Nothobranchius furzeri: one gene and its partners. The protein of the gene in region 2 purifies or fractionates together with the protein of the main gene of each other region. This does not show direct contact. Links are inferred from orthologs where the notes say so. Each region holds a gene or a part of one and is shown on either strand. Other genes may lie near its edges. The genes, in order: sf3a1, xab2, aqr and plrg1.

The links.
Region 1: the proteins of xab2 (region 2) and sf3a1 fractionate together in Homo sapiens (co-fractionation; 3 studies listed by BioGRID and IntAct, with this or other methods). This does not show direct contact. The link is inferred for Nothobranchius furzeri from reciprocal best matches to the Homo sapiens genes XAB2 and SF3A1.
Region 3: the proteins of xab2 (region 2) and aqr fractionate together in Homo sapiens (co-fractionation; 3 studies listed by BioGRID and IntAct, with this or other methods). This does not show direct contact. The link is inferred for Nothobranchius furzeri from reciprocal best matches to the Homo sapiens genes XAB2 and AQR.
Region 4: the proteins of xab2 (region 2) and plrg1 purify together in Homo sapiens (affinity purification with mass spectrometry; 3 studies listed by BioGRID and IntAct, counting the BioPlex papers as one, with this or other methods). This does not show direct contact. The link is inferred for Nothobranchius furzeri from reciprocal best matches to the Homo sapiens genes XAB2 and PLRG1.

The regions. Positions count from the first base shown.
Region 1 is NC_091757.1:36,508,195-36,514,232, forward strand, and holds the start of sf3a1 (splicing factor 3A subunit 1), read left to right. Parts: upstream 1-2,569; 5' UTR 2,570-2,784; intron 2,785-2,803; exon of another isoform or gene 2,804-2,894; coding exon of another isoform or gene 2,895-2,918; exon of another isoform or gene 2,919-2,972; coding exon of another isoform or gene 2,973-3,148; intron 3,149-3,238; coding exon of another isoform or gene 3,239-3,407; intron 3,408-3,495; coding exon of another isoform or gene 3,496-3,660; intron 3,661-3,736; coding exon of another isoform or gene 3,737-3,906; intron 3,907-3,981; coding exon of another isoform or gene 3,982-4,059; intron 4,060-4,142; coding exon of another isoform or gene 4,143-4,800; intron 4,801-4,888; coding exon of another isoform or gene 4,889-5,039; intron 5,040-5,119; coding exon of another isoform or gene 5,120-5,367; exon of another isoform or gene 5,368-5,432; intron 5,433-5,437; exon of another isoform or gene 5,438-5,560; intron 5,561-5,652; 5' UTR 5,653-5,684; coding exon 5,685-5,732; intron 5,733-6,038. Other genes in the region: ccdc157 (coiled-coil domain-containing protein 157), read right to left, coding at 2,973-3,148, 3,239-3,407, 3,496-3,660, 3,737-3,906, 3,982-4,059, 4,143-4,800, 4,889-5,039, 5,120-5,367. UniProt on the Homo sapiens protein: Component of the 17S U2 SnRNP complex of the spliceosome, a large ribonucleoprotein complex that removes introns from transcribed pre-mRNAs.
Region 2 is NC_091745.1:2,821,050-2,827,139, forward strand, and holds the start of xab2 (pre-mRNA-splicing factor SYF1), read left to right. Parts: upstream 1-2,315; 5' UTR 2,316-2,438; coding exon 2,439-2,474; intron 2,475-2,764; coding exon 2,765-2,913; intron 2,914-3,222; coding exon 3,223-3,346; intron 3,347-3,436; coding exon 3,437-3,634; intron 3,635-5,040; coding exon 5,041-5,175; intron 5,176-5,389; coding exon 5,390-5,554; intron 5,555-5,682; coding exon 5,683-5,827; intron 5,828-5,914; coding exon 5,915-6,066; intron 6,067-6,090. UniProt on the Homo sapiens protein: Involved in pre-mRNA splicing as component of the spliceosome. Involved in transcription-coupled repair (TCR), transcription and pre-mRNA splicing.
Region 3 is NC_091758.1:25,985,849-25,992,083, reverse strand, and holds the start of aqr (RNA helicase aquarius), read left to right. Parts: upstream 1-2,115; 5' UTR 2,116-2,232; intron 2,233-2,581; 5' UTR 2,582-2,602; coding exon 2,603-2,689; intron 2,690-2,959; coding exon 2,960-3,016; intron 3,017-4,552; coding exon 4,553-4,593; intron 4,594-4,683; coding exon 4,684-4,719; intron 4,720-4,826; coding exon 4,827-4,947; intron 4,948-5,071; coding exon 5,072-5,212; intron 5,213-5,610; coding exon 5,611-5,679; intron 5,680-5,844; coding exon 5,845-5,945; intron 5,946-6,065; coding exon 6,066-6,142; intron 6,143-6,235.
Region 4 is NC_091744.1:17,226,041-17,230,844, reverse strand, and holds part of plrg1 (pleiotropic regulator 1), read left to right. Parts: intron 1-6; coding exon 7-99; intron 100-640; coding exon 641-790; intron 791-2,016; coding exon 2,017-2,118; intron 2,119-2,544; coding exon 2,545-2,647; intron 2,648-3,038; coding exon 3,039-3,147; intron 3,148-4,804. UniProt on the Homo sapiens protein: Involved in pre-mRNA splicing as component of the spliceosome. Component of the PRP19-CDC5L complex that forms an integral part of the spliceosome and is required for activating pre-mRNA splicing.

The DNA of each region.
Region 1 (6,038 bases), on a different chromosome or scaffold from region 2:
AATTATAGATTCACTAGGATAAATACAATAAAGTTTATCTCTTGCCAAATAGAATATTTACTGTGGCGAGCCCGTGAAGAGGTGTAGGAGAATGCGACAAATTTGTCTGTTAAAAAGTCTGTTATGTACAAAAACACAATATCATCACACTATTTTGGACCGATACATGACGGTCAGGTCCAGCTTGGGGAGAAAATATGACACGTCTTTCAGGATGGACTTCATCTTTGGTAGCTGGCGAAGCCGGGAAAAGCAGGATCTAACCACCTGGCTAATGTGGGAGTCCATCCGCATCTCTGGGTCCAAAACCACCCCCCGGTTAGTGATGGTTGGCTTCACTAAGCTGCAAAAACAGGGTTGCAGGACAGGACTAACTGCAGTGGGAGAGGGAGGAACAAATATTCCAGTTATAAATATTAAATATTTGAACAAATAAATATTTGTTAAAAGGAAGAAACTGATGATGACTTTAAGATTAGAGGAATGTTCTAGAACGGGTCTGGAACCAACGATGGCCCTTTGGATCAAATTTGGATTAAAAAAATAGCTCATGATTTTATTTATGGATGGAATAAAAATACAGGTTGTAAGCATCTTCTCAGTATCTTCATGTTGCACGACTTTCCACAGCAGAAGGACACAAAAACTGCCAGAATTATGATTAGAAAGATTTACGTTTTAATCTCAGAATCCCAACTTTTCCCAGAATCTTCACATTATTCTATGAATTCAGAGAAAATATACATTTTTCAGAGGTCTCGCTCCCCTGTTGTGGATATTTCTCAAAATTCAACCATTTTTTCTTTTCAAAAGCTTTAGTAAGAGTTTGGACTCTAAACAAGTTTTACTTTGCAGACTGCTTGTCTAAACCTTCATCAGATCTGCTCATAATAAAACATTTGGGTTATATTTAATGCCCAGGAAGATGCTCTTCCTGGGCATTAAGTTATCAAAAACAGATAAAAGTATTTTTTACCATAATTTTAACTGCTATCAGCTGATAAAAATAATAAAAAACAGCCTGATCATTAAAGGGGTGTAAGTGAAACCGCGCGGATCACACAAACCATCATGCTGTCTATATGACTTTGAAAATATATAGTTTAATTACAGTTTGATTTATTTGACATCTGTATAATGTTTATTATTTTGTTTTTTCCCCCTAAATGCCTAACGTTTCAGTTTAACATGAATATTAGTCATTCATCACAATACATAAAGTTACACATTTTAAATTTTAATAGGGGAAGACTGCAGGAGGGAGCGGTAAAATACAGAAATCCCCAGCAAAAACAAGAAACTTTACGAGTCTGATGAAACCCGCTGGAGTTCCTTCAGCAGGCCTGGTGGCAGCTACAACGACCCAGTGGCTGTGCTTGGTCAATGTTATCGAGCTCAGTCCGGCTCGGCCGTGAACGAGCCGAGGCGACATCCTGCTCTGCTTAAGAAGAGGTGTTATTTTCCGCTTCAGAAGAAGCGTCCGTGTTTTACGCTTTCTCAGAGACATGTCACGTTGCTAAGTTGTTAGCGCCGCGCGCTAACACGTCAATAGTGCAGCATAGCCTGCTGGAGGGTTCAGATGAAAACACCCTACCACTCAGGCTGCTTACACATCGATATTAAGTTGTCGCTGTTGCGCTCACGCCGTAATACAGTATTAGATGCGGTTAAAGTCAGACATGAAAAACTCCACGAGCGGTCAGACCGCGCAGCAGCTAGGCGCAGCAAATAGGCGCCGGATCGTCCAGGCTGCCCGGCCTGACCGCTGGGGATTACCGGATGGAAGAATGGACACAGAAGTCTCCCTCTTAGCGCTCCGTCATATTTCAACCCATTTTTATCTTAAATGCACTGGGTTTTACCCTATTACCCATCTAAATATGCCCTATTAATTATTTTACCGTATTTTACATTTAAATTTCATGGTTAAACAGTACATGCTACATGTTAAACTGATAGTTAGCTAGCTACTTCGGTAAACTCAGCTAGTTTAAAGGTAGCAGTGACATAAAATACGAATATAGATTTTAACTTACCGAAAAAAATGAAGTGGAGACTCCTTGGACGCTCTATTAGTGCAATTAATACCACTGCAAGTCATTTTGTCCAACAATTGCACCAATAATATCCAAAGAAGAATACACAAACACAGAGACTCAAAATGCCGGAGCAGTTTCCAAGCCAGACCGAGGCTGTACTGAGGCCTTTCCACGGAGCTAGCTCTGTGGTCACGTGGGTCTGAGGCGGCGGTCACGTGTGTTGGATGCTCATTAATTATACAGAATTTTAGGCTTTCAATACACTTAAACAGAAGAGTGAGAAAAAAATTCACCCCCCTCAGAGTTGTCATGAGTATAAACTAGATAATTTAGACAAAAAACATGTTTTGGCACCAGGCTGTAAACATGTTTATTTCTGCTGTGAAATCGGCATTTTTAACATGGGAGTCAATGAGGATTTGCTCGCTTCTGGCACCAGCCCCCAGCGGATGAGGGTGGAACTGCAATTTTTCTTACTTCCGGGATGGGACCATTTTCTGAGCGGCATTGTGGGGGCTTGGTTGCCACCCATGGCCTTTTGTTGGAATTATTTCGTTTTGGGTGGTAAAAGGCCGCAACAGAATCATTTGCATATCTTCACTGACCCCCGCATTTCCTGCACATCACAAGATGAAGTTTGGGAACAGAGAGAACAAGCTCAGAGACCTTTATGCTGACGTGTTCTAAACAGGAAATGCAGCACTGACGAGGATTAATAAAGCAACCAACGCTGTTTCTAATAAAGGCAAGTAAAACATGTCAGCTCAGTTTTTTCAACAATAAGGTTTTTATTTAGTCAGTTGCATCCACGTTGATCTGGTTTTTTACATGAAACTCCAAGGAATAAAACTGGCTTCATGTCTGCAGAGGTGCAGGTTCCTATTCAGACACATACATTACAAATGAGTTATAATAATCCCAACGGTGCATGATCTACTTCACATGAAACTCCTTTGTGTACATCCATACCCTGCAGGCATTTTGCTGAGCTCTTGTTTTCAATTTCTCAAGACTTTTGTGCAGAGTAGCATTTTCCTGTTCCATCACTTTTATACGAATTCTGTTTGCTTGAAGCTGTTGCTCCATATCCAAAATCAAGTTTCCTGTACCTAGAATGTAAATAAAGTCATGTGCTATTATTATACTGGAAATAAATCTAATCAAATATAATCAGATAATGTTATTCAGTAGCAACCTACTCTGAGGTTGGGCCTGGGACCAGTTGTTGAGCTCTGGGAAAGCCACCAGCAGTCTCTCCCTCTCCTTTAAAGAGTCCACACGCCTTGTCAGGTCAGCCACTTGCTTTTTCAACTCATCCGCATTTACTTCTAATGTCTGCTTCTCCTTCTGGAGCTCCTCACACAAATTCTGATGGAAGAACAAGAACAAAACAGACTTTATTATAACTAAGGCCATTTACAGTACAATTGTATTGCATTTTAGGCCACATATATACCTGCTGCTGCATGAGCTGAGCCTGCTGTTCCTCCACCTTTGACATCTGATTGTGTAAGGTGATCCGTTCCTCCTCTTTCTCTCCTAGCTCCCTCTGCAGCTCTTCGCACTCTTCATCGAGAGCATCAACTCTTTCCAGCAACGACTTTTGCTTTGCCAGCATTGACTGGATACACAATTATATTGAAAACAGTGTGAAGGATCCCCTTTATAGCTATGCTGGCCTTTACAGTGACACTGACCTCCTGCTGACGACAGGCGCTCCTGTACTTGGCCTTCTCCTTGTCAAGAAGAAATGTAGCATCAGAAACTTGAGTTTCTAGCTGTTGGATCTGTTCCTGCAGTCTGCAGCAGGCCTCTTTCTCTGTTTGCAGGTTCTTCACTTTCTCATGGAGTGCTTTCTTTTCAGTTTCTACCAGCAAATGAATCGTCATTATGCAGCATCATACTGTAGATGTGTTGAATGACAGAATCTGCATCTCATTACCAAGCACTTGTAAGCTGTCATGTTGCAGTGCTATTTTCTCCTTTAGTCTGTTATTAGTCTCCTCCAGGGACATATTTTCTGTCACAAAAATGTGAAAAATATTTATAGTAAAAACTATGATGTCAATACATTCTTGTTATAAAACCGATTGTGTTAACTACCTCTCTTCAGCTGTTGTTGCTCCTTTTGTAGCCTTTGCTCTGTTTCTTTTGAGGATCTCTGTGCTTTCCGTAGAGAAAACTCCAGCTGGACAGAGTTTATTTGGTGTTTTTCCAGCTCTTGCTTGAATTGTTTCTGTGCACTTTCCAGCTCAGATTTGAAACTGTCACGTTCCATTTCAGCTACGGCAATTCTTTCTTCAAGAGGCTGCACAGTACCCTGGACATCCTTAAGATGTTTGGTCAGCCGGCTCGTGTCCCGGAGCTGCTCTTCGGCCCACTGGGCTACATCGCCTGATGTCATGTCACCCACAATGTCCTCCATAGCTGCTGCGAGAGGCTGCAGAGATGAGGGCAAACCCTCACTCTGTAACAGATCTATCAATGCATCTCCCGTGTTTCTCAAAAGGGACTGCACCTGATGGCAAGCGCTGCAGGGAATAAGGGACGAACTTGTTGTCTGGCAGCTCACATGATGCTGCTCAGCTTTAGGATAGCATGGAGTGTTGTTAGTTTGTGGGACAAAATCAAATGAGCTTGCTGAAGACAAGGCAGATGCACAAAAGCTACTAAGTTCAGTCTTCGAGCTAGTTATAGCAGGGTTGGACAGCACCATATTTGTGTTGTTGGAGTCAAATGGCTTTGTATCTTTAAAGGGCTCCTGTGAAAAAGAAAGCATAAAAGTATCCAGATCTTTCATTTAAAATGCAATTTTTAGAGTATTTTGTATTTTCTAACATTAATACTACCTTTTTGTTGGCTGATAGGAGTAAATTCCCACAGTAGTTCTTGACCACGAGTCCAACTGACAAGTATGTTGTCTGCTGGGTTTGCTCTCCTCTCTGTCTGCCTCTCGGCACCTCATTGTAAACACTAACACTTTGTAGAAGTAGCAATAATCTTTTTAGAAAAGGAGAAAGGCAAATGTTAATAGAATTACTTTGGTAACAATGCATAACATATAAAACACATTTTATTACCTGTCAATCACTAATTCCAGTAAAACAATGTGGGAGTGCTGATTGAAGGCATCCTCTCCGTCTACATAGTCGTACTCCTCCAGCAGAGCCAACATGTCCACATTACAGGAGAGTTTGTCAGGGAACTTCCAAGAGGTAAAGCTGACCGGTCCTGTTCTGGAAAAGACGTCCACGATGGCTGCTTGGATGTCCGCCAGATCTTTTTGGAGGCTTTTGATGCAGTCTTGACTACCTAACAGCTCACTCATGATCCCCAGATTTAGTTTAATTCTGTCTTCGATGCGATGAAAAGGTCGAGCTCATTTGCATCACGTATCCGTGGAAACGGCAAATGAAACTCTAAGTTCCACAATGCCTTGCAGCTTGTTTCCGGAAGTGATACACCTCCATTATCTGACGAGCGCGCGACGCAGCAAGTGTTGAACCATCTGAAAATTCAAGGTTTGGACTGCATTGCTGTGATTTTAATGTGGATGTTTGTATGAAATTCCATTGAAATTGCAAATTCACTTCCTGGGGGTTGTATGTTTCAGGTATCAATCGGTTTTCACAGGCAGACCTAACCATGCCGCCTGGGCCTGTTCAGATAGTTCAGCCGGAGCCCAACAACAAGGTAATGCTACAAGTTAGCACAAGCTAACTGCCAAGCTAGCAAGACTTACAGTTTCGTTAAACTATTGAACCAAAAATATAGAGTTTCGATATTTTTGCTATGTAGCATCTGGACTTTTTTAATGTGTTGAATAATACAATTACACTTTTAACTATTCTACATATACGACCATATCCAGAGTACCCTAAAGCCGCATAACTCGAGACCCAAGGACTCGGACGTTAACTTTTCTCTCCAGAATGATCCACTCCACATTGAATTATGTCGAAGCAAATAACATTTATTCATCGTATTATATTTTAATGT
Region 2 (6,090 bases):
TTTGTCCACAAAGAAAGACAGAAAGTTCTCACAGTCTGTAACAGAGTGGATGGAGGCTGTAGGAGAGGCAGGAGAGACAATGCTGCTGATGGTGTTAAACAGCACCTTGGGGTTCCCTTTGCTCTGGGACACCAGGTTGGAGAAATAGGAAACCCTAGTGTCTCTGACTGCAGAGTTAAAGGATGTCAGAAGATCCTTTAGGTGCAGCAGATGGACATGGAGATGGGTTTTCTTCCACAAACGCTCAATTTTTCTGCATTGGCGCTTCAGGATGCGAAGGCTGTCATTAAACCAGGGAGTAGGGTTCACTGCAGGAACTGATCTGGTTCTGACAGGACAGATGTTGTCCAGACTGAGATCCTCATCTGTGCTCCAGACAAGCTGGTTCCCGAAGTCAGAGACTCTCTTGGTCAGCTTGCTTCCCACACCAATACTCTCTAAAACCAGACTGAAATTTCTTAAACAGACCATTAGTGTCTAAATGCTCACATAATCGATTGGCCACTATTTTTTAAAAATCTTTAGATGAAAATGTAAGGTTAGATATTGGTCTATAATTTATTAGGTCATCTGGATCCAGAGAAGGTTTCTCAAGTTTTTAGCAAGGAAAACATGGTAGAGCAAGTCCAAAGTGAAGGATCCTCGTGCCTGCTTAGTAACTAAATCATTTAAGCTGACCAAGAATATCGGGCTTTTCTGGTCCACTGCGGTCAAAGTTCTGTGAGTCAGCCATTGTCGACGCACTGGCAGCATCAACTCGACTACTGGCGCTGTGTCGAAACGGAGCCGGGAGACAAGTCCACACTCTCAGTATGCGGCTGAGCGACTCAAAAGTGAAGCAGCGTCAACTTAAAGGGTTGCGGTTTTTCTGTGGTCTCCTTCAGAGATCCACATGTGACTAGTTGACTACAGCCTTGCATCTGAGATGGTCTGTGTGGCTCGGCTGCCTCGGGAAACTGGAACAGCCAGATGTCTGCTCCAGCAAGTGTTTGTTCCTGGGCAAGAGACAGGAGAAGCCGGGCACCCGCTCAATTTTCTTATGCAGCCCCACTAACATGTTTGACCAAACAATTAAATGACACAGCATTTCCCGCATTCAGCCAGCAAAATAAAGTACAGAAATATAATTTTACTTACTGAAAAGAAGCAGAAATTGCTTGGGTGATCTGTTATTAGTGCAGTCAATAACCACAGTTTTGTGTCCAAATAGTCCCATAATTAACATCCAAACATGAACGCACAGAAGACACAGCTAAAATTCAGAGATTCGAAATGGCCGAACTTCTATTAATGTGAGAACCAGGCTGAGGCAAGCCTGGGCCTCACCGCTAGCTCTGAAGTCACAAAGCTCTGATGCTCATTAATTATTTCACCTTTCCAGCACCTATAATGCAGCACTGAATCTAATTCCCAAACAGTTTCAGTCTATATGTTGTTCATTCTGTTTAAGAATTGTGTTAACTACTGTTGAAAAGCTAATAAACAGACCTTATTTGGGAAAAAAATATTCTTTGTCTAAATAAACTTTTAATCTGTCATTTGACTTGATTGATGGACACATACTTTGTCCATAGGGGATTTCTTACTTTCATTTAGGTGAACTGGGTGGAAACAAGACAACACTGTTGTTTTTTAATATAAAATCTTTCAAAACCTTTTACATTAAATTGCTTGCTGCAAAAAATTCACGATAGCTTTGCTGAGTTAGTTTAGAATTTTTATTTTACACCATGTTGAACACATTGACTTGATTTTGCATAGCAGCAATAATTGACAGTTCTGTATAATAAAAGAAAAAATAACTAAGAAATGTAAATATTTCATTTTTGACTGTTTATTAAATTATGATAATATTTGCTTTACAATTGCACATCTGAGCATGATAGTGCATCATGCAAGATAAGCACGAAAAAGCTTTGGCTTCAGGCAAGTACAAAAGGTTTTTTTCTTCTCTATTTATTTTTTCTGTATGTAATTATTTATTTAAATAAAAATATTATAATTATTGCTTTATTATCATCATTTATTATTTGTTTTGGTTTGGTTTATTTTGAATTATCATCTGTAAGCATAAAAAAGTGTAATAGAAATGTAAAATCAGAACAAACATTCATTTATTCAAGTTTAAAGGATATGAAATGTTATACCGTAGAGGGCGATGTGCTGCAATTCTGCATTATCGGCTTTTGGAGTTACTGTTGTAATCCTCACGATTTACCAGTCTGTGGCGGTAGTCGTTTACTAAACGCGATTAAACACAAGAAGAAGAATGTTAACCTTCGTAGTTCTTCATGGTTGTTGTAGTCCTTTTGTGTTGCGCGTGCGTATTTCGTTACCGGAAGTTACGAAGAGCTTCACGTTTCGAGTCCACAAACTAGCTTAGCTTTTCTAAAGTTAGGATTATTTAAAGTGGATATGTTTTAGTTCTCTGCGAAGTAATGCCTTCCATAAATGGAAAAGCGGATGTTATCTTTGTGAGTTACACGCTAAAGCATATTTTTAGTATTCGTTACAACAAGCTATAACTTTTACGCATTGCTAGCCTGATAGAGAGCATGGCATATTTACCATTAAAACGTGAAATATATGCAGTCAAACAAACGTTTTTATGTTTGAGTTACGTAGCTTTAGTAATTGTTTATCTGAAGCACGTAATGTACTATACATGTAGAATGCTGTTGAAGAAATACTGCGCTTTCGCGCTACATTTGTTAGCTTTACAGAAAATCACTGTTTTGTGATTCGTTACGGCTTCCCTCTTTAGGAGGATGACGACCTTCCTTATGAAGAGGAGATTATCAGGAACCCGTACTCGGTCAAGTGTTGGATGCGTTACCTTGAATTCAAACAGAATGGACCCAAAGCCACCCTCAACATGATATATGAGCGCGCTTTGAAGGAACTACCTGGAAGGTAACATAAAGAAAAGTTGTTACATGAACATTGAGGTTATTTTAATCGCTGTGAGCACACGTTGCAACTTCCAAGAGCAACGATGTATCTGGGGATTTTTAGTAAGCTGGAACCTTTACCAAACATTACTAATGTGACTTAACATCATTTAAGATCACAACATGCCCTGTAGGTTATAAATTGTAAGTCGCTTTGGATAAAAGCGTCTGCCAAATAAATAAACATAAGTATTTAGTTGTATACACTGACATTGAGCTTGAATCTGTTCTTGTGTTCTATCTCTTGTTAACAACTTCTTAACCTTTACAGCTATAAACTGTGGTACAATTACCTGAGAGAGAGAAGGAAACAAGTCAAAGGGAAATGTATAACTGAGCCCACGTATGAAGAGGTCAATAATTGTCATGAAAGGGCACTGGTGTTCATGCACAAGGTACTGATGACTCAATTAGAAACATTTTAGCTGTAAACACAGGTGGGAGTTGTATTTTATAACTAACCAATCAATCTTTACTTAATCTAGATGCCTAGGATATGGCTTGATTACTGCCAGTTCCTCGTGTCCCAGTGCAAGATTACTAGAAGTCGACGGACACTTGACCGTGCACTGAGAGCCCTGCCTGTTACTCAGCATCCACGCATCTGGCCATTATATCTTCGCTTTGTCCGTAACCTGCCTCTACCTGAGACAGCCATCCGGGTCTATCGGAGGTACCTCAAGGTGAGATTCTACTGTACAATTCTGTTTTTAAAAGTTAAGCAGATGTTATGTGATGGACTGGCAATCGGTTCAACCCATGTCTTGCCTGTTAACAGCTGAAGATGAGCTTCTCTACTACTTTTGGGTTTACTTTTCATTTTGTTTCGATAGTGTACTTTAATTCAGTCGCCTTCATCAGGATTATTTTGGGTACAGGAAAATGTGATTATACTTCAAATTTTAGGTAAAGATTTGTTGACTAGGGTGACTATATCACCTATTTTCCCAGACATGTCCACTTTTCACTCTGTATGGGGTGGTTTCCTATATTGATTAAAATGCCCAGTTTTTCATCCAGGAGCAGGGTTTGAATTAAGCAGGAGCTGGATATCTTACATATCCAGGGAGAGCCCAAAAAAGATCTTGTTTCTACCTACATTACTTATTTACATGAACTCTCAGCATACTGGGGATTCTTTTGAGCAGAGAACAAGGAGAGCGGCAGAGCACTGGTTGCTCTCCAGGCAGCTGCGTCCTGCGTTCGGCCACAGTGCTCCGGTGATTTCAGTTCCTTTATTTTTTGTGGCCAGTAGATCTCCTTGATCTGCTTAGTTCAAAAGAAACTCATGAAGTGAAAAAGTAAGAAGCTAGGCAGCAGTTTTTCAGGAGGACTGAGGAGATACAGGAATATCGGAGACGGACGGGACAGAAAAACAGTCAAATATATAACAAGAAAACAAACAAGGCTTGTAAAGGAAAGTGTAGATAGATTTATCCCCCTTATGTATAAAACAGTAATTTATAAGCACATGATATGTATATATTTAATACTATTCAGATCACCTTTAAAACTCAGTCCCACACCCAGGGCCATTTCAAGGCCTTTTGGGGGCCAATGTAAAATAGAACACCCCCACTCCATGTCACATGGCCCCCCCAAAAGCCTCTGTGTAATTCATACCCTGTCCAGGAGTATTCATTTTACAGTGTTAGTAAAAAGACCTCTGATATTAGGGACATGTTCTAAAGTTGTCTGACGAATAAACAAAATTGGACATGCTGTCTCGTCTGCTTCTTCCAAATTTTCAATAATACATCAGTAACAAACCTGTTTGAAAGCCACTAACTGTGGATTCTCTGGAGGTTTCCACAGAGTCTGTGACAGACTTTGTTTTTCATTGATCTGATTGTCTAATCTGTAATGATGCTGTAGTAAATGCGATGTTTAATAATTCCCTATTAATATAGCATTATAGCACTAAAGCAGCAACTTTGTTGGCGGAGTCTCGTATTAATTTTAGCTCTAAGCCAGGTGTTCTGACAGCTTTGGCATAGTGTAGGCACAGTTCCCCTGTCCTCTTTCTGGGAAATGGAAATATGGTCACCCCATTGTTGACATAAATCAAAATAGACATTCTTTTTTGTAGCTCTCTCCAGAGAATGCAGAAGAATACATTGACTACTTAAAGTCTGTTGGTCGCTTGGATGAAGCAGCAGTGCGACTAGCAGCAGTTGTTAATGATGAAAGTTTTGTGTCCAAAGAGGGCAAGTCCAACTATCAGGTAAGATTTTATTGTCGTTTTAAATACCGTGTGTGTGTGTGTGTGTGTGTGTGTGTGTGTGTGTGTGTGTGTGTGTGTGTGTGTGTGTGTGTGTGTGTGTGTGTGTGTGTGTGTGTGTGTGTGTGTGTGTGTGTGTGTGTGTGTGCGCAATAAGTTTACAGAAAACCCTCACAGCCCTTATTTAACTTGTAGTTTTTGTTGTTGGTTTTTCCAGCTGTGGCATGAGCTATGTGACCTGATCTCTCAGAATCCTGATAAAGTGACCTCTCTAAATGTTGGAGCCATCATACGTGGAGGTCTCACACGCTTCACAGACCAACTTGGAAAGCTTTGGTGCTCTTTAGCTGACTATTACATTCGAAGTGGCCACTTTGAGAAAGTGTGTTTCCTCTGAAGAGTGTTCATTAATGTTCATAAATCACTATTCATAAGTAGTGTGTTTAGTTTTAGTCAGTTATTTAACTCTTTTAACTATTTCAACTTTTTCTGATCGATTTGTTTTCTCAGGCAAGGGATGTGTATGAGGAAGCCATCCTCACAGTGGTAACAGTCAGGGATTTCACACAAGTGTTTGACAGCTATGCCCAATTTGAGGAGAGCATGATTGCTGCAAAAATGGAGACTACCGCCGAGATGGGTCAGGAGGAGGAAGGTTTGTTCATTTTCATTAAGAGTGAAAAAGATTGAACATCGACAAGAACACACTTCTTATGAATGCCTTTGTGTTGCCGTTCTCTAGATGACATAGACTTGGAGCTCAGATTGGCGCGCTTTGAGCAGCTGATAGCTCGGCGTCCTCTTCTGCTGAACAGTGTACTTTTGAGGCAGAACCCACATAATGTTCATGAGTGGCACAAGCGAGTGAAACTCTATGACGGAAACCCGCGGCAGGTAACGTTTTTCTCCTGTACACAT
Region 3 (6,235 bases), on a different chromosome or scaffold from region 2:
GTTTGTGAGAGCCCAGGACTGTGTGCCTGACCTGCTGAACTGCAGTGCGGGCGCCCCTCAGGGGACTGTTTTTACACCCTTTATGTTCACCCTGTGCACTGCTGACTTCAGACACAACACGGACAGATGTGTTCTGCAGAAGTTCTCCGATGACTCTGCAGTTGTTGGCCTGATCACAGAGGACGATGATGTGGAGCACAGAGGACTGACACAGAACTTCGTGGACTGGTGTCAGCAAAACCACCTCCTGATCTCTGTAACGACTCATATATCTGTAACAACTCGTTTATCTGTAACAACTCGTTTATCTGTAACAATGCCACTACTGTCATCACCATTCAATACATGTGCAATATTTACTGCAACAATCATTATTATGTGCAACAACTATCAAACTCAGAATTCAACACTTTTTCAATTCTAAGTAACATATTTACATCCTTTTTGTGTGATATATTTTGTGTACTACTTCTATTTTACTTTACAGTACTTGTGCTGTTGCAATACCACAATTTCCCCACTGAGGGACTAATAAAGGTATTCTTATTCGTAGTATTGTGAAACCATACAGTCAAACTGATTTTACAACCCAGACATCACAACATCTCTCTGACACTTACAAGTTTATGCTAAAACATCTAGCTTACATTCCATCATTTCATCCATATTTTGTCATGTATAATCACTTAGTTTAGGAAAATAGATTTTTTTTCTTTTATATCATTCAAAATAAAAACAAATAAAACATATAAACAATAAGAAAGACATAACAAAAAAATTGATTTGAACGAAAAGGAGCAGAATGAAGAAAAACATTTAATAATTTCTGCCCCCTTTTTCAGTAGAAATAATCAATTTATACATAATTACCATTTGTCAGACACACATACAGATTCATTTTAAACCTTTTCCTGTTCTAAATTCCAGTGTGATCATGATCATTGATTTAATTTACATTTTCATAATTAGTTAGTAAACTCAATTTGGTACATTTTTTGAATAAATTAAATGACAGTTTTTTTATTTCCCTTTTAAGGCTATTCCATAATTTAACACCATTTACAGATATATTCCACTCCTTAATTTTTGTTATAAATCTAGGTTTTGTAAACACATCAGTTTCTTTCAGCATCCCTTGAATGTTTGTTGGCAGAGTACCTAAATTGGCTTTATACATGGTTTGTAAGATTTTCCAGTCTTTTAAATCATGAAATTTCTGTAATTTATATTTTATAAACAATGGGTTCGATGGATCTCTACAGCCACTATAATTGATGATTCTCAGAGCTCTTTTCTGTACAATAAATAAGGGTTGTGTACAGTTTTTGTATGTTGCTCCCCAGATTTCTACACAATAATAAGTCAAGTATGGAACAATCAGTGAATTGTACAATGCCAACAAACCAGAATTAGTCTGTAAAAACTTGACTCTATGTAATATTCCTAAGGATTTGGCAATTTTACCTTTTATGTAACTAATATGAGATTCCCATTACTTCATCAATAAGAACTCCAAGCAATTTAGTTTCTTTTACTCTTTGAATTGCAGTCCCATCTATTTCCAATGACACATCACTGTTCTTTTTTATCATTAAACAGTATAAAATTTGTTTTATTAAGATTCAGTGTCAATCTATTTATATCAAATCAGTTTTTAATTTTAATCAGTTCATCATTAATCATTTAAGCCACCTCCTTAGTTAATTCATTGTTTCAACCATATCCTTGACTCTGTCTGAATTAATCTGAAGTGTGTGTTCCCTGAATAGTCAGAGAACCTAAAGGAATATTAAAGACCAACAAGGTTCATATTCCATAATAATATGGAATATCACATCTTATTGATCATTTCACAAATACGCGGATAATCCTCACTACACACACACAGAGAGAGAGAGAGAGAGAGAGAGAGAGAGAGAGAGAGAGAGAGAGAGAGAGAGAGAGAGAGAGAGAGAGAGAGAGAGAGAGAGATTAAAATTTATATTAAAAAATCTCACTCCATGACTTTTGTAAAAAATTGGCTGAGCTGTGAATTTATTAGGTGTAATTTTACCGCTCTATGTCCAAATTCGAACAAGGAATGTAAGGGAACTAAAGAAACAGTTTTGTACATGAGGGACAGTTTTAGTGACGTACCTATTCCAGGAAGTGGAACGCTAACAGCGCGTCGTGGTTGTATACATGGCTAACTTGCTGTAGTCATACGATTCATGAGAATATAAAATAATAAAGGTTAGTAATGTTATTTTTGTTTTTTGTTCGTGCTGTTATGTTAAAAACTAATAGCAATAATAACGTTTTTATCTAGAACTTTCTTAGCTGTATCTAAGCGTGGCTAACCAGTTAGCTGTTCTGTCCATTGTGAGAGCTAACATTTACTGATGTGTTTTTGTCAAATGTGTCACAGGAAACTAAGAAATAAAGTAAATGTGAAATCTGCTACTTTTTTTGTTCTACAAACCATTGGTTGTTACAACATTGGACTGTGGATTAGATTTTTCCGTATATTGTTGTCCAGAGCTGTTTCCTTTGAAACGACCGCTATCGCAGCCCTTCAGTGATTAACTGTATATTTTTGCAGCTGTGCTAGTTACTGTTGGACATGGAGACCACCACAGAAAAAGGAACTCCCGCTAAAAAGATTGCTGCGCCGTCAGTGTCTCAGATAAACGCAGAATATGTCACGCAGGTACTCGCATATTTGCTCTCCTTATCTAATCCTAATATGTACTGGATAAAGATAACTTAACTGACTCTATAGGAGTTAGACCAAGCAGAAAAAAACATGTTTTCATTACTTTTTAGTATTATTTAAGCACTACTAATACTATATATATATATATATATATATATATATATATATATATATATATATATATATATATTTATATACTACTATACAAACATCAATATATTTTGTCTATGTCTGTATTTGAACTTCTTGGCATCTGTTTTTCAGTTGGCTAATAAATATTGGGCTCCTCATGCAAAGGATAAACTGCCTTTTGACTCTAAGGTAAGACGGACAAAGCAGCATGGTAGATATGCAGTGAGAAACTTGTCGATGCTTGTGTGATTAAGATGCTCTAATGCTTGTGACAGCTGTTACAGCATGTTATTCTGAAGATGCTGTCCACTGCTCTCATTAAAAAAGTCCCTGTTATGCTGTGGTTCTACATTAAGGGAGAATTTGCCAATACATTTTAAACAAATCAAGCTAATTAAGCTCCAGTGTTAGCTCTTACACACACAAAGCTGGCATTGTGGAACCAGAGAGTGACAGCAGCAGGATTGGTATGTACATTTCCAGTGCATTTACATGCAGCCAGTAACCCTTGCTTTGTTGCACCTTTGCTAACGTGACTCAAAGGTGTAAGCAGCAACGTTCCATCTCAGTCATTTCACAAAGTGAAAAAGAGGCATTTCAAGTCTTTATCATTCACATTGATGACAAGACAGTAGGGCGGTGCCATATATCAGCCACAATAGTACTGATTAGGGCTGGACGATAGAGAAAAATGGTATATCGATAAATTAAACATTTTTTTTACTGATATTGATAATTATTGAAAAATATTTTATGTACACCCCTAACCATTTTATTTTTGGTATTTTTTATCCACCTCTTCTCGCTGCGACATCTTGCTGCCTCATGCTCTGTTTTGGTTTGGGGAGGTGGGCCTGGCAACATAGCGTGCCCGAGTCTGTGGTTTTTATTGGTTGGGAGTATGTAGTGAGTCTAGTGTGCTGTTACCTGATAGGTTATAATGAAAAAGGAAACTTTTTATCTCCACCACATGTCTATCAATAGATGTATTGAACTATGGAATTATTGTCCAGCCCTAGTACTGATCTAAACTGACGTGTGATTAAAAAAAATCATACTGTGATATAAATTGTGACATCATAAGGCATGTGTTTCCTTGTGAGTGCACTCATTAACTAGGTGATAGCATGCAAAAGTCTGTAGCTAGAGTCACTTCCCCACCATGCTCAATAGATCTCAGAAAATAAGATGGAAAGTGGTCTTTGTTTAAAATAATAGGTGCTGCTACCAGCAAGTTGCAGTCGCAGACAAAATGTTCTTATAATTTATATTTTGTATAATGTTATTGCAGATTTCCTTGAATTATTTTGAGTCTGCTTCACCTACCTTCAGAAGAAAGCTGACTACTTTCAGCATTTTTAATGTAGCTGATCTAGTAGCATATATTAGCCCTGTTTCTTAAAAGAAAATCACACAGGGCCTGAGTTTTCTTCTTCCTAGGAGGATTTATTTAGGCCAAGCAACATGGCAGGTTGAGTTTAACTCCTCACTGTTAGTGATGCCAAGGGAGATGGTCACAGAGCCTAAACGGTCAGCGTGTGTAAGGGTAGGCTGTGTGTGATTCAGATGGGCGTGCCAGACACCAGTTTTAATTGTAGTGTTCTACATTAGTTCTGTTGCTTTTTAATACAGAGATGAATGTTTTTTTTTATTTATATCTTGTAATGCTTTTCCTGCCTTTTGTTTGCCTTGAGATGATTTCAACATGATATGATGTGTGTTCAGGTTTTGGAAGATGTGTACGAAAAAGAGATTCTTACATCCAAGTAAGTAAATAAATAAATAGCATTGCTGGTGTTTTTTAATATTCTATTTGTGCATTTTTATTTATTTTTTATTATCTTTTCTACTTTCAGATTTTCCATCAGAAAAATTATGCTGCTTGAATTCAGGTGAACATTTTCATATATTCATTCTGCAGATTATTCAGCCCCCTGGAAGGGATCAAATTGTGGCCATACTATTTGCAGGGCAGATAGTTAATTTCCTCCTCTTTCAGTCAATACCTGGAAAATTACCTTTGGGTAAATTACACGCCCGAGGTGTCCAGCAAAGCCTTCATCATGTCCATTTGTTGCATCGTCAATGAAAAGTTCCGAGAGAATGTTCCAGCTTGGGAGGTAAGGAAAACAACAACATCATGCTTAGAGAAAATGAAGCTCTGCGTAAAGGTTCTGTTACCATACTTAACAGCAGAGGTGATTATTTAACACAGTATTAATGCATTTGTGTCATGATTATTAGGTTTTTAAGAAGAAGCCCGAACATTTCCCATTCTTCTTCAAGTGTGTGATGGAAGCTGTGTTGGCAGGCGACGAGACTGACCTTACTTTGAAGGAGCAAACTGTTCTCCTGGTCTTCTTGGACCACTGCTTCAACAGTCTGGTGTGTAGCACCATCACATCCTGGGCTATTCTGCTCAGGAAATACATTCTGGAGTTGGCCTAGGGTTTTATATACATATATATATATATATTAGAATCAAAACAAAATGATATGATATGAATATTCAGACCTAATTTTCACTGTTAAGGCAGTTATTAGTAATGCCCACTAGGTGGCAGTAGTAGACAAGCAAATCAGCCACCCGGCATCCTGAAAAGCTGAGTGACTAAAGAGAAACAATGCAGATGTTTAATTTCTTTTTAAATGGAGTATCCTGCTGCATTTTGATTGTATCCTATAAAAACATGTAAACATTTTGGTCACAGGGCTAAATTTCTGTCATAACTCTGTATATTTTTGTCTCTTTCTCCTTCTGCATGCATGCACCTCCCTCCCAGGAGGTGGATTTGATCAGAGAACAGGTGCAGCAGCTCATCTCTCTGCCAATGTGGATGTGCCTGCTACCAGTAAGATGTTAACTTCCTGCCTTAATGAAGTTTCTCTGGGGGTTATTGGCACCCCGAGTCATTTCACTATCAGGACCTGTCTCCTGTCTCTGACACTAATCAACAGTTAAACCATCTCATTCTCTCTTTTTTTTATTATTATTTAATTTTCTGTCACGCCTGCAGTCCAGACTCCAACACGAGCTGAAGAAAGTCCCAAAGCTGCAGAAGTTCTGGAATTTAATCAAGAAGAAATTTGATAAGATGGATGCTGATGCAGCTGAGCGGTAATATTAGATTCTGTGCTGACCTGTTCAAAACATCAATACAGACTTGAGAAAATAGCGTGTGATGTTCCAGCTGTGTTCCACAGTCTTTCTGATTTGTGTTCTTCGTGTCGTCTTTAGCGCAACCAGAGAAAGGTCCTTCCTCTCATCTCTCATTAAAAAGTTTACCGGAGTCCTCATGTCAATTCCACCAACAGGTAATAGGAAATAATACTTTTATCTATTTTATGATGCTGTTTGATGAAACATAGGAAGTTGGGTTTTTTTTAAGATTATTTTAAGACATTTTT
Region 4 (4,804 bases), on a different chromosome or scaffold from region 2:
TGTCAGGTTATCAGCGGACACCTCGGCTGGGTGAGATCCATCGCCGTGGAACCGGGAAATCAGTGGTTCGTCACGGGGTCAGCAGACAGAACTATAAAGGTCGGGCGGGCTGAGTAAAACACCAGCTTTTATGTGTTTGTTATTACATTCATTCATTCATTCTCCATAAATACATATAAGCAGTAAAGCTCTGTTGATAGAGGGATCAGTAATGGTCTAGGGTTTTAAACTGCTTTTTATATTCTTTATTAACAGGTTTAAGCTACTTTTTGTCTCTAATGGTAACAAGTCTCAGAGGACTGAACCTGTCTAGATTTGTTATTAGACTTCATCTTCTCCACCAAATAGTTTTTCCTATTCTGTAAAGAGCTGTTATTGATCTAGAGCTGGTAAAACATTCAGGTTGTTGTATTTTGTGTAGGTGCAGACATTGCAATACAGTTTTTTAAAAAGAAATCCTTTCAGTATTTAACCCTTACCCAACGTTTACATTTTCTAACGTTAATGTCATTTGAGCACAAAAAAATGCTTTAATGTTAGGTAAGGGTTAAAACGTTTGGGAGTGATACCAAGGTGGCTCTGTTGCTGTTAAAGCTTCTGTGATGATCCAGAGATAACTGGAAGGTGGTTGTCTCTACAGATCTGGGACCTGGCCAGTGGGAAGCTGAAGTTGTCTCTGACTGGACACATCAGTACCGTTCGTGGTGTAGCAGTGAGCAGCCGCAGTCCGTACCTCTTCTCCTGTGGAGAAGATAAACAGGTCAAGTGTTGGGATCTGGAGTACAACAAGGTACGTTGTTTGGATTAGCTCAGGGTCATCAGGAAGTTTTTTTAAAGGAGTTTTTGTGCAAATTTAGTACAACTGGGGCTGGGCGGCATGGTACATTTTTCATATTGAATTGGGGCTGGGCGATACAGTCTAAAATCAGTATCACGATATAGTGAGGATTTCACCTCGATAACGATAAATGGACGATAACTACAGGTTTGCGCAGAAACAAAAGTTGTCCACTAGATGGGGCTGTCACATGTACCACCTTAACTCACACTTTTACGTGACTCAAGGTGGAACAGCTTCTTAAAGGGACATGAATGTTGCCGACCTACACATATTTTCATTTTTATTATCAAATTACTTGACATGGGAACAATGATCTCGATAAGAGTCAGAAATTTCTTTAACGATAAATTTTCGATTTATTGCCCAGCTCTATGTTGAAGCATCAGTTTTACGGTATTTGAGGGCATTTTTTTCCCCACGCTACACTCCACATAAACCCTGAGTCGGTCTGAACCAAAAAGCACCTGCTACGAACAGGTTGTTTGCTAGGCTACATCTGTTAGCAAGACAAACATCAGAGTAATGAAAGCATTTAGAATTGTATACATTATACATTAAAGTATATTGGTAATGGCCAGCATGACATGTTGACCACTTACAGGTTTCGAAAGATTGTACATAAAAAAAAAGGCGTAGTCTTTGCTGTGAATCGGTCCAGGCAGCCGCCAATTCTTCCTGGTGCACTAGTCCAACCCCAAAGCCTTGGCAGCCAATCAGCAGAGAGCTGAACAAACCGAAGCTAGCCTGGCCTTAACCAAAAGTGCCCAAAACACAATATCGGTGTGAAACTGCATGTAGACAACATGTTCTGTGTTTTTAGTGCATTAACAACGCAGATTTATGACAGACAAACATAAGTTTTAGTCCTGCTACCTCTTCTAGCTTCACACTTAGCATGCTAAATGTTTACTTTACTTTGGTGTGACTGTGGAGCAGTTAATTTGGTCCCCCGCTGAAACACTTTCCCACATTCCAGACCTTGTCTGAGCTATTCACCATGTCAGCAGCATATGAAAGATTAACATCATAACAGAAACACACACCGGTTTCTAGTACAGACCTGTGTACCACAGGCATATTTACTACTCTATTTAATCTAAAATAACTTGGTTTTGTGTATTTATAGCAGTTGTGGTATTTTTACAGCCTCACGACAGCATTGGTTTGTCTTCCAGGTAATCAGGCACTACCATGGCCACCTCAGTGCTGTGTATGATTTGGATCTACATCCAACCATCGATGTGCTTGTGACATGCAGCCGAGACGCCTCAGCGAGGGTGAGTTTAGTTTGGGCTGTGTTGGAGCTTGATGGGAAATGTGGGTGTAGAGGTGGCGACTGCATGAAGAGGTGGAAGAGAACGTCTCTGAAATACACAAACACACAATACAAACACAAACTACAGTTAATATGCTATCCTGGACCAGAGATGTGACTGCAGTGGTGGTGCGACGCCCTCTGTTGTCCTGGCAGGGAATCGCTTTGCAACTCTCCCCAGTGAAAACGTCGCTGTCAGTGCGTGTGTGCCGCTCTGCACCCGAGCTGAGGAGGAGGAAAACATCAGTGATGTGTAACCTAGAGATGAAAGGGAATGTGTGTGTTGTTTTAAACCATGAGACCAATATGGTTCTAGTTTGGTGGGATTAGGCCTCTGTCTTGTTTAATCCCAATCCTGACTGGGACTGGATTTTCTTTGTGCTTTTAGGTGTGGGACATCAGGTCAAAAGCAAACGTGCACACACTTACTGGTCATACCAACACGGTGGCTACAGTCAGATGTCAGGCTGTAGAGCCACAGATCATCACTGGTGAGTAGATTTGAAGCCAATAACAGTGATTATGGCTGCTCCACTTGGGGGGGGGGGGCTTGGTCTCCATTGTGTTTGTTATTGGTGAAATCATTATTTAACTTGATGACTTGTTGACTTGGGGAAACACTCCACCATGAATGCTGTGGTGCACCTTATCAAAATAAGAGCCCGAGTGATGCACGAGATTAATTTTTATACACTATATTATAAATCACTTCAGAAGTCTTTTATTCATTTTGATTTAAAGGAACACAGATTCTGTGGTAGAGCTGATCTAAAGTGTCAAGAGTTCAGGTTTTAAGCAGGCAGTTTCATGTTTGCAGGTGACAAAACTGTGTGTGTGTGTGTGTGTGTGTGTGTGTGTGTGTGTGTGTGTGTGTGTGTGTAGGCAGTCACGATGCAACCATCAGGCTTTGGGATCTGATCGCTGGGAAGACCAGAGCAACTCTGACAAACCACAAGAAATCTGTCCGAACTCTGGTGCTGCACCCCAGACAGTAAGTCCTCACGTTAGCCAATTGATTGGCTTTATTGAGTTTAAATTTTTGTTTGACTACAGATTTAATTTGGTGATATTCTAAAAAGCTATTCTTATCCATTCCAAATTGGGAGACTATTCTATTAAATGGGATGAAGTCCAGTCCTTCATATATGTGTTCCAGGTATAGGATCCCTTTATTTTTCCAGTCCGGAAGGTTCATCATTTTGTTATTTTGCAAAATATCAGGATTTTTCCAGATAGGTGTGCGTCTGCATGGTACTAGTGTAGACTCTGTCATTTTAAGATACTCCCACCATGCTGTCAGAGAGGTGATGATACTAATACTTTTGAAGCCTTCATGTTTTCTTATGCTTGAGCTAATAAATGGTAAGTCTGAAAGCTCTATCGTATTGCAAAGTGTCTGTTCCATATCTAACCAGGACTCATCTAGTGGGTTATCTTGCAACCATCTTGGTATATATTGCAGCCTGTTGGCTAAGAAAAATAATAAAAGTTGGGTAGATCCAGTCCTCTTCTATCTTTGGTCTTCTGAAGCGTTTTTAAGCTAATTCGTGGAGGTTTATCCTGCCAAAGGAATTTAGTAATTGAGGAGTCCAGAGATTTAAACCAGTCAGCTGGTGGTTTGTTTGTGATCATCGAGAATAAGTAATTTATTCTGGGTAAGACCATCATTTTAATTGTAGCAACTCTCCCCATGAGTTATATTGGTAAGGATTTCCATCTTGCAAGATCATCTTCCACTTTCTTTAAAAGTGGGATGTAGTTTAGTTTGGTTAGATCTGCTAACTTGGGAGAGATATTAATTCCCAGGTATGTGATATTCCCTTACTCCAATTGTGTATTAAGTAAATTGACAAAAGAGAAATTAATTGGTAGAACTGTGGATTTTAACCAGTTTATAGAGGAAACTCTTAAAAAAGAGTTTATCAGTTCTATTGCTTGGGAGAGAGAGGATTGAGAATTCCGGAGAAAGAGTAAAACATCATCTGCATAAAGACTGATCTTATGTTCTATTTTCTTACACTTTATCCCTTTAATATCTGTTGTTTGCCTAATTGCTGCCGCTAGTGGTTCGATAAAGATAGCAAACAGTGAGGGGGAGAGTGGAAACAGTTTTTAACATCATCCTGCAGGAGACCACAAAACAGTGCCATTCGGGGGGGGGGGGGGTGTTAATATTTTGCCTTTGGGGGTTTAGGAACAACAATTTCTTTTCCTTCCGTTGTGCTTCACCAGTAAGTCTTCCAATTTAACAAATACAGGTTGTTTTGGGCAATTTCTGCCGATGTCATTTCCTACTGAGTTACAACCAGTCGTGAATTAAAGAGCAAGTCACCCCCTACCACAGTCTTACTCCACTCCCACTTCCTGTTTGAAAGGAAAACTGACCGAGAGGGCGGAGCCGTTAACAAATACACACCCCACTGTGCGACATTATAATGTACCAGCTAATGTCATAGGGTACCTCTTAACCAATAGCAATGGCAGATTTAAATTCAAATGCAGTGCTGAGTTTTTACCTGCAGAGGGCGCAACACTGACAGTTTTCACAATTAGACACTCATTTATATAGTTAATCAGTAAAAACAAGTTGATTTGGGGGTGACTTGCTCTTTAAGTCTTTCCCAGTGACTCTCCAGGTCTTTTCTGAG